Linked DNA regions of Rattus norvegicus. The protein of the gene in region 3 interacts with the protein of the main gene of each other region in a pairwise test. Links are inferred from orthologs where the notes say so. Each region holds a gene or a part of one and is shown on either strand. Other genes may lie near its edges.

Region 1 (4,202 bases), on a different chromosome or scaffold from region 3:
CAGAGGAAGCAAGAGGAAAATGACCCGGGGAACATGGCAACAGAAGGAAGGGAAAGACACTGAAAAGAAGAAACCAACGCCAGCAATGGTAGTGCACACCAGGAGGCAGAGAGAGGAGATTCCCTGCAAGTCCCAGGCTAGCCTCAGTTCTGGAGTGATGAGACATAGGAGAAAGCAAAGAGCAGAGGGACCGAAGAAATGCAGAGTGAAAACACATCTCTTTAATGGCTCAACTCCCCAGAGCCAGTCCTAAACATTCATCTGACTGACAAGTATCTCTTGCCAGGTTAAGCCCCCGTCACAGAGGGAAATGTTATTTTGGCAATTCCCACCTTCCAGCAGCCAAACCAGGTCACCCTTCTGACTGCCACCAAAAGAAATCTCGTACAGTACAACCCCAGCAAAAGAGATTCTCCAGCCTTCTCTGGATTTAGACATACAATTAAACTCTCTCAAACAAACTTCAGTCTCTTGTGTGAAGTAATACCCCCCTTTCCTCACAAGCCTCGACTCCACCCAAACTGGGGTCCAGACTCTCCTGGGGAGAGATGGGGTGCTCTGAATGAACTCCACCCCCTGCTGTTCCTGCTCCTTTGGCAGACAGCAGCTTCCTAAAGGTGGGCTTAGAGCCAAACACAGCCGAGTGCTGCTCTTGACCAGTCCCACTGGTGTGCCACTCCAACCCAGATTTTTCTCAGCAAAAGGCCATGTTCTCAGCTGTTATCAGCCTGAGTCTCCTCTCTTCCTGTTCCCAACCCAATCACATGAGGAGGGGCACGGGAGCTGAGTGGATTCTCACAAACGGATAAACAGCATACAGCCTAGAGCTGCTCACCGCTGGGGTTAGCAGTACTCTCACAGCTTAAGCCAGAGATTCCAAAGTGTCCTAGGACAGTGGTGTCCCCGAGAAATGTGGTCCCCCTGAGGCTTTTTCCTTTTTGGTAGAAGACTATGGAGGTGTAGAAGCTGGGGAGAAACGTGTCAGGTGGTACAAAAGAGAGCTGGAAACCTTATTTTATGTCATCATCAAATTTCTGCCTCAATTTATGGACTCAGCTTATCTTGTCCCTATGTGGGTACCTTCTTGCCTAAGGAAAACTGCTACAGCAATAGTGAAGGCATCGCCAAGCACAGTGGGTGTGTGTGTTGGGGGTGGGGTCCCTTAGTCCCAATCCAAGTAGCCGTCTGTGCTCTTAAGATTGCCGACAATGGGCCACTAGGAGACATCCCAGGTGGAGTTAAACCTCTATCGATAGGCAGACTTGCTGAAAGCCTCTCACTGGTAGCAGGCTCTGCTCGCCTCTGAGTCCACCAGCCCATTCGCCACCGGCCAGGGCACTCGGTGCGCACACCCCCCAACCCTGCCCCTCCGCCTTGGCTAAGTCGACCCCACTCTTCCCGGAGCCGCGAGGATATCTGCGGCTACAGCCCAGAGCCAGTGCCGCAGCTCCTCCCGGTGGACGCCCCGGCCCCCGCAGTCCCCAGGGCAGAGTCCGGCCCCGTGCCCGCCCCTTGGGGTGGGTGCCCCGGACTCGCTCCCCTCCCTGATACCACTACCTGCGCCCGCTTGGGCGCCGCCTTTGTCCGGCTCTTCACCGCCGAGCGGGCCCCTTGGGCCCGACCTGACCCGGCCCCCGGCCCCAGAGGAGAGGCGGCGGGGCTGGCAGGGCACAACCAGGCCGGGCCTGGAGCACCGGGTCCCGCTGTCACTTAGAGGCGGTCTGACAACTTCGATTCCCCCCGCCCTACCTCGGACTCGGCCGCCGCCCCGCACGGTCCCCACAGGGCCTCCCGCGGCCCACACTCGCTGTTCGAACCGGTCCCCTTCCGTCTTCGGCGCCTCCCTTCCTTCAGCCCGACCCGATCCGGTCCACACTACCCCTCGCCCTGACGCGGCCCCCATCCCCACCCCCCCTCCGGCAATTGCCGGTCAGCTCCCAACCCTGGAGGGCGCCCCCCACCCCGAGAGGGCGCTCCCGCGGCGACGCCCCCAGCAGCGGCCCCTAGCCTCGGGGACCACGATGGGGGAGGGGGCTTGGCGGGGGCCTTGCCGCCCGCGCACTCGGAGGCGAGCCGGCTCCGCCGCGGCGAGGAAGCACCCCGCGTCCTCCCGCCCTCCGTAGCCCGGGACGCCCGCGCCGCCGCCCCCTGGCCAAGCTGCCACCCTGCGGCCGCCACCCACCCCGCCCCCGGTCTGCGAGGCGGGCGCCCCCCGGGGGCTGTCACCTCGAGGCGCGCAGTGCTCCCCGATGGCGGGACCGCAGCGCCGGACCCGGGGGAGGGAGGCGGCGCGCGCGGGCGGGCAGGCAGCCGCACCTGCTTCTTGTCGTCCGTCCGTCCCTTCCCGGGGCTGGCGGGGGCGGCGGCGCGGCGCGCTCGGCGGGGCGCGCTGACGGGCGGCCGGTCCTCTCCCTTTTGCTAGTCCGCCTACCTAGCTCGTTCGCTCGCTCGCTCGCTCGCTCTCGCTCGTTCGTCCTCCCCTTCCCCCTCCTGGATCCCAGCTCCTAGCTCACCGGGACGAGCGGCGCGGACGGCGCGGCTTTGGGCGCCCGCAGGCCCTGACCGGGCTGGAATCCGGCGGCTGGAACCCCCCGGGGGCGCTCAATTCCCGGGCTCCACGCTGCTGCGTCAGCGCCTCCTCCTGGGGGCCAGGGCCGGGCGGGCGGAGCGGGGGCCGCGGTCGGGCGGGGCCGTCGGGGGGGGGCGGGCGCGCCTGGCCGGGGCGGGCAGACGGCTAGGGCCGGACGGGCGGGGCAGGCGGCCGGACGGGCGAGCAGCGGGGGCCGGGCTCCGGGATCCGCTACGCCGCTCGCGGTTCCCCCACAAACTCCCCGAGAGCGGAGCCTCCGCCGCCCTCCTTCCTGCTTCCTCGTCCCCAGCCAATCAGCGGCGCGCCCCTCGGCAAGCTCCGCCAATCAGCCGCCCCGCCCTGCGCTGGCCCCGCCAGCCAATCCGGCCCTCGGCTCCCCCTCCCGGTCTCCAACCAATCAGAATCGTGGGTCGGTCGTCCCGACGCAGGGGGCAGCACGAGGCGGCCGGGGGAGGCGGTGCGGGGAGTGGTGGGGCCTGGGGGGAGGGGTACGGTGCCAAGGGTGGTGGCGGGGGATGATTTTCTTTGCCGGCTTCTAGTATTTTCTCCTGGTCTTTGGAGCCTGAGCCAGTATCCCATGGTGACCTGACCCTGAAGCCCCAGCACCTCACTGCAGACCCCCACCCTGAAAAATCTTAGCGCGCCCCCGCCCTGACCATTACCCTTCTACATCTCTCTTCCCTCCTAACCTCTCCAGCACCCGCTACAGTAAACTGAGGGCCGAGGGGGCACCCCACCCTCCTCAGGCTGCTGCCCCCATGGCAAAGCTTCGGGAAGACCAACCGAAAAATTCAAGCAAGAACAACACCCCCTTTCCTCTGAAAGGGCCCCAGACTCGCGCGAAAGGGCCCCGACTGCTAAGAAGCCCCTCCCGCCCTTGCCTCATCTTTCCGACTTCCCTGCTTGCCACGTCTCCTTTCCTTCCTAGCAAGGTCGGTCCTGGCTCCGTAACCCCTCACCCGCATCTCTTTTTCCTCTTTCTGCCCTTCACCTACCGCCCCCCACCCCAGCTCCCAATTCGCCCTCTTTCAGAAGCCAAGTGTGGAACCCTCATCCATTTCCAGCTGACAGCACAGCCTGGTCTGTGAGTCCTTGACACCCACACACCCTCTACCACCACCGCGGGGAACATCAGAGCTCTCCGGGGGAGAGGGAAAGGGGCGGGCAGCCCAACAGGCGCGGCTGGACACACTCCTTCGCGTCCCCAAGCCTGGGTAGAACCAGTGCAGACACTTACCTAGCTTCCCCATAGTCACCTTATGCTGTGGCTCCGTCTCTCACACCCACAGACGTGCTTTTCCAAGCCTGAGCACGCTCTCGGGGTCAGCTGGGTGGGTGGGCAAAGCAGGCTGAGGTCATACGAAGGGGTGGGAAGTCCCTGGGAGGTGCGGGAAGGGGCCGTGTCCTGGACACCTTGTAGCGTCAGAGCCAGCCCAGGACTTCACTTCAAGGAGTCGTAATGTGCACACAGTAGGTTCTTGAGAAATACCGAGTCCACCCCTGAACAAAGCCTCATTCCCAATTCAGGCGGGGGAGGGGCGCTTTGGGAGGTAAAGGAGCAGGAGCAGAAAGGGTAGTGTCAAGTCACCCGAGCCTGGGAGCAGCCGGGGAG
Region 2 (4,157 bases), on a different chromosome or scaffold from region 3:
CATGCAGTCATGTGTTGGATAGAGGTTTCCTAAGAGGAGTGCATGGGGTACTGTGAACATGAGAGGTCTCCATAACAGGCCCATTTTAGAGTTAACTTCCTCGGAGCCCAGATGTGGACGTGAGCTCTTGTTGCAACCATGTCCCCTCCCTCTGGCTCAGGACCTGACTGAGGTACTGTACCCACTCTCAGATTTCCCATCGGCTGTGCCCTGCAAATCCCAGGCTCCCACTTGGATGACATCAGCATAGCTCCCAGGTCCTCCACAGACCAGAGCTCCTTTCAGAATCATACGGCTGCAGTCTAAAGAAAAGAAAACTGAGGCTGAGAGTGAAAAGAAGCTCGACCAGGCTCTCTCCAGTACGTGTGTGTGTGTGTGTGTGTGTGTGTGTGTGTGTGTGTGTGTGTGTGTGTGTGTGTGTCTGGCTTAGGTCTGTTATCACATCTAACGTGACAAGGTTCAGATGAAGGAGTGATCAGTTCTCACTTCTGCCTTACATTCCCTTGGTGGGCTTGGTTTGAGAAATGAGGTCACCCAGCTTGGGGTCAAAGGGAAAGTGGCTACCTTAGAGCCTGCAGAACTCAGACAGTACTAAATGGTGACCTTTAAGGGGTGAGCAAATATGGCCATGTCTAACCCCAGAGGGGATAGCATGACTGGTCATTTGGGCTTCTGCAGTGCAGAACTCACTAACATAAGTCATTAAAGAGCCCAGCTTGTACCACAGGGACATGTAAGCCCCTCCATGACCTTGTCCCCCCAAGTGCCCAGCAGAAGTCCAGAGGGGACAGACCAGCCTGTTTTAGCTGGGGAATAGTGTTGCTCACAGTAGCTTGGTCTTCTGACAGCAATTAACTTCATTAAGACAAGCCCCTACAGACGTATTCACAGGCCAACCCCATGCAGACATTCCCTCATGGAGACTCTTCCTGGGCAATCCTAGGTTGTGCCAAGTTGACAGTTGAAGCTCGTCATCTCGAGTATGCTGGGTATTGCTGAGGAAAACTGTAACCGCCCTTGTGGACATTAGCAAAGGTTTCTGAACGCCATTCCTTTGGCCTATTCATAAATGCTAGGCCAGACTTGAGAAGAGTCAGCCATGAAACCTGACACTAAAAGAGCCTTTGCTTCCCTCATGTGGAACGTCTGTTGATAATGGACGCTTCTGGAGGTTGAGTCCCATTCAGGGGAAATGGAGAGCCAATGAGTGAGAGGGTGGAGCAGGCAGCCAGTGTTGGGCTGGGTGGGAAGGTAGATGATTGCCCCCCTTCCCCAACTTGGTTTCTATAATGAGGAAGTTCTCTGCAGCTCAGTTTCCTCTCCCTCGCTGAGCGCCTGAAACAGGAAGTCAGTCAGTTAAGCTGGTAGTAGCAGCAGAGGCAGCTTCTGAGAGGCCACAGGCGGCAGGTCTCAGCCTAGGGCCCTTAACTGCTTTGCTGGAGTGTCCGTCCTGGGAGTGGCTGCTGACCCAGCCCAGGAGACCCATGCCTGCCATGGTCCCTGGGTGGAACCATGGCAACATCACCCGATCCAAGGCAGAGGAGCTACTTTCCAGAGCTGGCAAGGACGGGAGCTTCCTTGTGCGTGCCAGCGAGTCCATCCCCCGGGCCTACGCGCTCTGCGTGCTGTGAGTACCCTCATTTCCTCCCAACTGTCAGATCCAGGGACCCTCGAGGGGTGGATCCAAAAGGGAACCCCTATAATGGGGGTTTGAGTTAGTTTTATGTCACAGGATGGTGGGACCTGACTGGTACTCTGTTATCCTGTCGGGAGGGTGGAGGTAGGGGTGGCATCTGAGGCCCACTTTGGACCTTGGCGTTGGAGTTCAGGGACCCTGTGTCATGACAGGCTTGTGTGGTGCTAGGACTCTCTGAATGACTCCGGGCCTCCACCACACTATAGCCCTCCATGACCTGTGGTGCCAGGGGCCTCCCTGAGCTCCAGTAGCAGGAGCAGTGATCCTCACTTTGAGCCAGGAAAAAACTCGGGCCTCTCTGGTGGAGGGCGCATTGGAAAGCATCTTGGTCAGCTCAAACGTCGGTTGGGGGACTCAGTGAAAGGCAACACTGACAAAAGGGATTCCCTTCCTCCACCCTGCTCTGGTCTTGGAGCTAATTCTATTTGGGGGAGCTGAATCTGGGGTGCATTTAATCAGGAAAGGACTCCTCATGCAGGCGTTTTATTCTAGGCTGCAAGGACACAGGAAGCCACAGAGCTGCTCTGTGAGTAGGTCTCTGTCCCTCCCCTTGCACTCAGCTATGTCCCTATCTGAGTCTCTCCCTCCATGGGTTCCCCCCACAGCCCAGCGTGAAGATGTTGCTGAATGTGCTGGTTATCCTAACAACAGAGGAAACAGCCACTCGCTGAAGGTTCCTTTTTAACACTCCATTCGTCTAGAGTCTGAGGAAGGTTGTCGCCCCTCTAGCCCTGTGGTCTGACCCTGTCCCGGCTTCAGGCTGGAGCAGGGCAGGAACACAGTCAGGAAGGGTGTGTCTACTTGAACAGCACAGGTAGCATCTGATAGATTGTCCCTGGACTGAGAAAGATCTTTCAGAGCAGCTAGGGCCCCCGTATCTTCATGCAGGAGGGAAGTGGGTGACTGACCACAGACTGCTCTGCGCTCTGACTCATGTTGGGACCTGCTGTGCTAGGCATTTGCTGGCTGGTTTCATCTTCAAGAGAGCCAGGAGTGTGGGTTCTATGAACACCTAGACCAGCAGATAAGGACCATGAGGCTCAGACAGGTTATGCAGAGGATAAGGTCGTTTGCGCCCAGAGACCACCAGCTTGTGCTGCCTACCTCCTACCACCATCAAGCTGGGCATGCCAGTGGACTTGGGTGGAAACAGACGAGCTAGGGTGTTTACAGAGTTGGGGGTGGGGGGCAGAAGCCCTAGAAGCCAGTACAGGTTCACGGCTGGCTGAGCATCTTGGGCTGGTGGAGTTAGCAGCCAGCTTCCTGCACACCCACCAGCGTGTTTCAGGACAAGCACTGCAGGTGGCCTGGACCACCCCAAAGCCCTCTCCCTTGGGGAATCTACCAGTGAGGGGCCCTAAAAGGAAAGAGGGCAGGAAGGTACTTTTCAGTGTGTCACAAGCTCAGCCTGATTCCACTAACCCAGTGACATTTTTCTGCCCCAGTGGGATTTGGGCCAAGGGCAATTTTGTTGGGAGTTGGCTATGGGCTGAGAGACTGTTGTGTGCACTGGTTACAAACACACGACACACGCATGGGTTCTCTTATGCTAAGCCAGCAGCCTCTGGAAGGCTGGAGTCGGAGCAGAAGGAGCCTGAGCCAAGGCCAAGGGGTCTGGGAGGACCTTCAGGCAGACAGAACTGGACCTTGCCTTTCCTCTTCACCTCTCTCCCCTGCCTCAGCTGACTTAAGTCCCTGCAAAGCAAAGATGATACAGAGATTTTTCAAATTAAAGGAGTAACTACCGCAACCTCGGTGTATGGTATAAAGCTGCCCCCCCCCCAAAAAAAATCAGGAAAAGAATACTTTTTAATTTGAAAAATGGTTAGAGGCCAGCCCTTTAATGCAAAGAGACTTACCTTCCTGAAAAAACAAACTTCACATCCTTCACATTCCCCTGTTCCCTGTGGATGAGGGAACCTAGCCCACCTCATTCCTGCCTCCTCACCATCTGCCCCGGCCAGAGTCCACACTCCTACCAGAGAAGATCAAGTCAGCAGTTTCAGGACAGCAACAAGGTAGAGGCCAGAGAAGGGGCTGCAAAGGAGAGATGGGGGATGGGGTGGGTGGGATACAGGACAGATGAGTTTTCTTCAGTTTCAGGAGTGATATAGATTTGGCACGTGTGCTGTCTTGCTGGACACCAACCAGTCTGTGTAGACTCCGGGTCACACAGCTGTGGGTCAGAAACTTAGTGACCCTGCTGCTGGGGCTTCACTTGTCCCTTCTTGTGACTGAAGGAACGGCATCAGAGGCACCGTGCCTCTGTTGGGTTTGGTTGGCACTCTGGGAAGAACGAAGCATTGTGAAGAGGACCTTCCTGGTCTGAGATTTGACTAGGCATAACAGGGAGATGGAGGTAAATGCTTAAAGACAAGGTTGCAATTCAGTACCACCCACGTGACAGAGGAGTGCACATTCACCCCACACCCTGACCTTTGTTTCCTTGAGAGAGATCAAT
Region 3 (3,567 bases):
CCTAGTAGGAAAACACACAGGATTGGATGAGCAGGGCAAAGAAGACAGGACACCAGGGAAAGTATCACAGGCACCCTGATACAGAAGCCAGGGGTGTTTAGTAACAGCATGACACTGATGTCAAAGAATCCTAATAAACTAGGTTTTATCTAATCTTCCTAATATCTCTTTTTATTGTGATGTAAAAACAGTAAAAAATATCCCAAAAAGACAGAGCAAAATCAATATGAAGAAAATCAATTGTACCTCTAAATAAATGGTCCACTGGTAACAGTATCAGAAAATATCAAATATTTGGAAATGACTCAGCAGTTTTAAGAGTATTTTTGATTCTTGCAAAGGACCAGGGTTTGATTCCCAAGACTCACAAAGAAGTTCACAAACTGCAGTTCCAGAGGATCCAACACCCTCTTCTGATTCCTATAGGCACTCCACATTTGTGGTACACAGATACACACGCAGGCAAAACACTCATACACATAAAATAAACATAAGTGCTTTTGTTAATATTTGGAAATATATTTTACAAAGTAAGTGCCAGGCTATGGAAAAAACTTTTTTTTTGTTGTCTTGTTTTTTTGTTTGTTTATTTGTTTGAGACAGGGTTTTTCTGTATAGCCTTGGCTCTCCTAGAACTCACTACATAGACCGGGCTGGCCTTGAACTCAGAGGTCCTCTTGCTTCTGCCTCCCAAGTGGTTGGGATTAAAGGCATTCACCACCACAAAATAGTCGAGCTATTGATTTTGAGAATGAGAAGTACTTGATATTCACAGAATAAAAGACACCGGTTAAACGTTAACTCCAAGCTCATCTACAGATTCAAAAAACATCTGGCAAAATCCTTGTTGAACATTGTAGAAGTCGGAAGCTGATACTAAAGTGAACATGGAAATGCAAAGGAATCAAAACAACTCTGAGACAGGAAAACAGACCAGGGTGCCTACCACACTGAGACTGGGGAGAGAATGTGACTTACAACAGGACAGTGCCTGAACCAACTTACTAAGAATTTTTAACTAGGAAAGGGAGGAAAGGAACAGAAAGTTGGACAATTTATATACCCAGACTTCAAAGTTCACTGAAAGTTTGACGGAAAAGTATGTAACTCAATTGGGAGAGGCTTACTGTAAATCACTGGGGCAGAACTGAGAGTCCCAGATAGACTTCCATTAGGGAATTCAACAGGACAACAGAAAAATTCAAATGTATATTTTTGCTCATGCCATGTGCAAAAGCATCACCAAGTGACTTAAATGGAAAGAATCTTATGAGGTTCTTTTGCTTTGTTCTGAGACAGCGTTACAGGATGTAGCCCTGGCCAGCCTGGAACTTGGTATGTAGGCCAGATTGGCCTTGAAGTAACTGAGATCTTCTGCCCCTCAAGTAGAGTTTAAAAACATTGCTGCATATACCATCACAAAAGCAAAATGATTCTTAAAGGAAAGAATACTATTAAACATAAGGAGACAGCAGGAAACACCAGTAACGTTGCTTTAGACATATCTTTAGCCAGTCCAGATCATGGGTTAGAAAAATAGGCCCTACCCCCTCACGGAGGACTGTAAAGGCCATGGGATGGAAAGTTCCACTGTAGCTATGTATGGAAGAAGGAATCTGCCCCATGTGCCATAATCCCAGTTTCAGTCACCTATGTGAATATATGATTCCTACTGGCCTGCCCGTTAAACTACAAACTCTAGAGGGCAGGGGCTGTCATCAATGGTTTACAAATGTCTGCCACACAGTGAGCATTACTCTTAGACATGGCTAAGGATATAGCTCATGATACGACCTTTTAAGTGAAAAAACATACTTAAATAAACTTCAATATAAGTATAATATTTGGTTTCTTAATAGCAGATATGATCATAATCTATTGTGTACATGTTACTCTCCCAGCATAGTTGAGGACGTCTAAGGACAGTCTCACTGTGGACAGTTGCCTAGCAGATGTGCCAGCTTTTCTATAGTAAGTGTCTATAGAATCAACATATATAGTTTATTATTATTTATTATTACTTTTTTTTCCTTTTGGAAAAAAAAGTCTCTTTTTATCACTAACATACAAATACTTAAATGATCTTTCAGAAGGAAGGCAGGAACATATTTCTTTAAAATCATTACTTTCATGGCAATACTTGACGTCCCAGGCATATCCAATCTGCAAACTATACTTAACTACCCACTAAGGTTTTGATTTCCTGCTAAACTACTCCAGGGGACAGAAAATGTTCTTATTTAGGTGTCCATGCCCCACACCAAGCACAGACCAGGCATATAGAGGACATTAATGACTAAGGAAGAGCACGGAATTTATGTGACATTTTCAGAATCACGTAAGAATTTATATTGGAGCTCCCAAATCTGAATTAGTGATTCTGATCTTCCAATTTTTCAGCCTTATAACCTGGTGGCAGTATATAATCTGTCTAAAATCCCATTGTTTTAAATGGAAGCAGGGAATTATGCCGAGGAATTCTCATAGAGAATATTGTGAGGTCTACGATGTAGGCCAGACAGGAAGCTCTTGATCATCAAGGAATGGGCTAAAGACTCAGCCTTAACACACAAGTCACTGAGCAGCGAGTGGTACTAACAGGGATCAGGAACTTCTTAATCTCTTCCAAGGCATGCCCCATCCGGGCATAAGCTTCCGCTGGGGGCGCGAACACTTCAATGAGCACGTGCAGGTCGTCATTGAGGTGAAAGTACTTCGCTTCTCCACTTTTCCTCAGCTCCTCCTCCTGAAGAAGATAATCACATTTAAAATGTGTCATTTAGAGCAGGAAAAAACAAGCAAAAATTACACAAAACTTATTTGATGTGTGCTTGTGAGGGAAGACTCTAAAACAAATAGCACTCTGGGATGGCTTTATTCTATAGATTTGATCCTGTTGTCCCGGGTTCTCAGGAACCCTGGACAGGCATCCTATCCTGCTGGGATAAGGTCTCTTCTGCTCTGACTCTGCCTATAAGGAATCATCTGCCCTTGGCTACCTGCAGATTCCTGTTAGCTCTAGCCTGCCCCATTACCGCCCCAGCTATGCACAAACCTCTGATCTTGACTTGGCTATGTGCCCGGCTCATTTCTCTACAGCAGATGCCTGCCATTTTAGGCATGCTGACACCAAGCACTCACCACAATCCAAAACATTCAACAATCTTTCAAGTTTGCTTCATTCTTTTTGGTTTTCTCTTATTAGCAGGCGACTGCCAGAGAGCAGACCCTGTATGTCCGTCTTGTCCGATGGTGTGTGAAGGGCTGGTTTATACTTCTCATTTCTGGCCCAAGCCTCAGCTACGTTATGAAGGCTGTCTTATGACTAGTTGCTGTGCAATTCAGAGTGAGTTCTAACAACTGTCCATGGCTTCCTAACAAAGGCAATGTGCTGTTCGGGGAGGGAAACAGACTCAGGGATTTTACACTCACATACCAAATCCCACCCTGACTGCTTGACAATCAAGCAGTTTACCTTATCAAGAAGGATTTTCACATGGGACAGACCTAGTGTGGTGTCATCTCCTGGGGCTGCTAAAGGCAGAAGACTCTTTAGAAAAGTGTCTA

What was found.
Region 1: the proteins of Khdrbs3 (region 3) and Bahd1 interact in binary tests that used the Homo sapiens proteins (3 or more experiments, as listed by UniProt). The two-hybrid records come from large-scale screens. The link is inferred for Rattus norvegicus from reciprocal best matches to the Homo sapiens genes KHDRBS3 and BAHD1.
Region 2: the proteins of Khdrbs3 (region 3) and Inpp5d interact in binary tests that used the Homo sapiens proteins (3 or more experiments, as listed by UniProt). The two-hybrid records come from large-scale screens. The link is inferred for Rattus norvegicus from reciprocal best matches to the Homo sapiens genes KHDRBS3 and INPP5D.

Annotation. Positions count from the first base shown.
Region 1 is NC_086021.1:126,345,032-126,349,233, reverse strand, and holds the start of Bahd1 (bromo adjacent homology domain-containing 1 protein), read right to left. Parts: upstream 2,831-4,202; 5' UTR 2,514-2,830; exon of another isoform or gene 2,432-2,513; intron 2,426-2,431; exon of another isoform or gene 2,317-2,425; intron 2,270-2,316; exon of another isoform or gene 2,227-2,269; intron 1-2,226.
Region 2 is NC_086027.1:95,734,239-95,738,395, forward strand, and holds the start of Inpp5d (phosphatidylinositol 3,4,5-trisphosphate 5-phosphatase 1), read left to right. Parts: upstream 1-1,294; 5' UTR 1,295-1,484; coding exon 1,485-1,627; intron 1,628-4,157. UniProt on the Homo sapiens protein: Phosphatidylinositol (PtdIns) phosphatase that specifically hydrolyzes the 5-phosphate of phosphatidylinositol-3,4,5-trisphosphate (PtdIns(3,4,5)P3) to produce PtdIns(3,4)P2, thereby negatively regulating the PI3K (phosphoinositide 3-kinase) pathways.
Region 3 is NC_086025.1:102,806,810-102,810,376, reverse strand, and holds part of Khdrbs3 (KH domain-containing, RNA-binding, signal transduction-associated protein 3), read right to left. Parts: intron 2,747-3,567; coding exon 2,600-2,746; intron 1-2,599. UniProt on the Homo sapiens protein: RNA-binding protein that plays a role in the regulation of alternative splicing and influences mRNA splice site selection and exon inclusion. Binds preferentially to the 5'-[AU]UAAA-3' motif in vitro.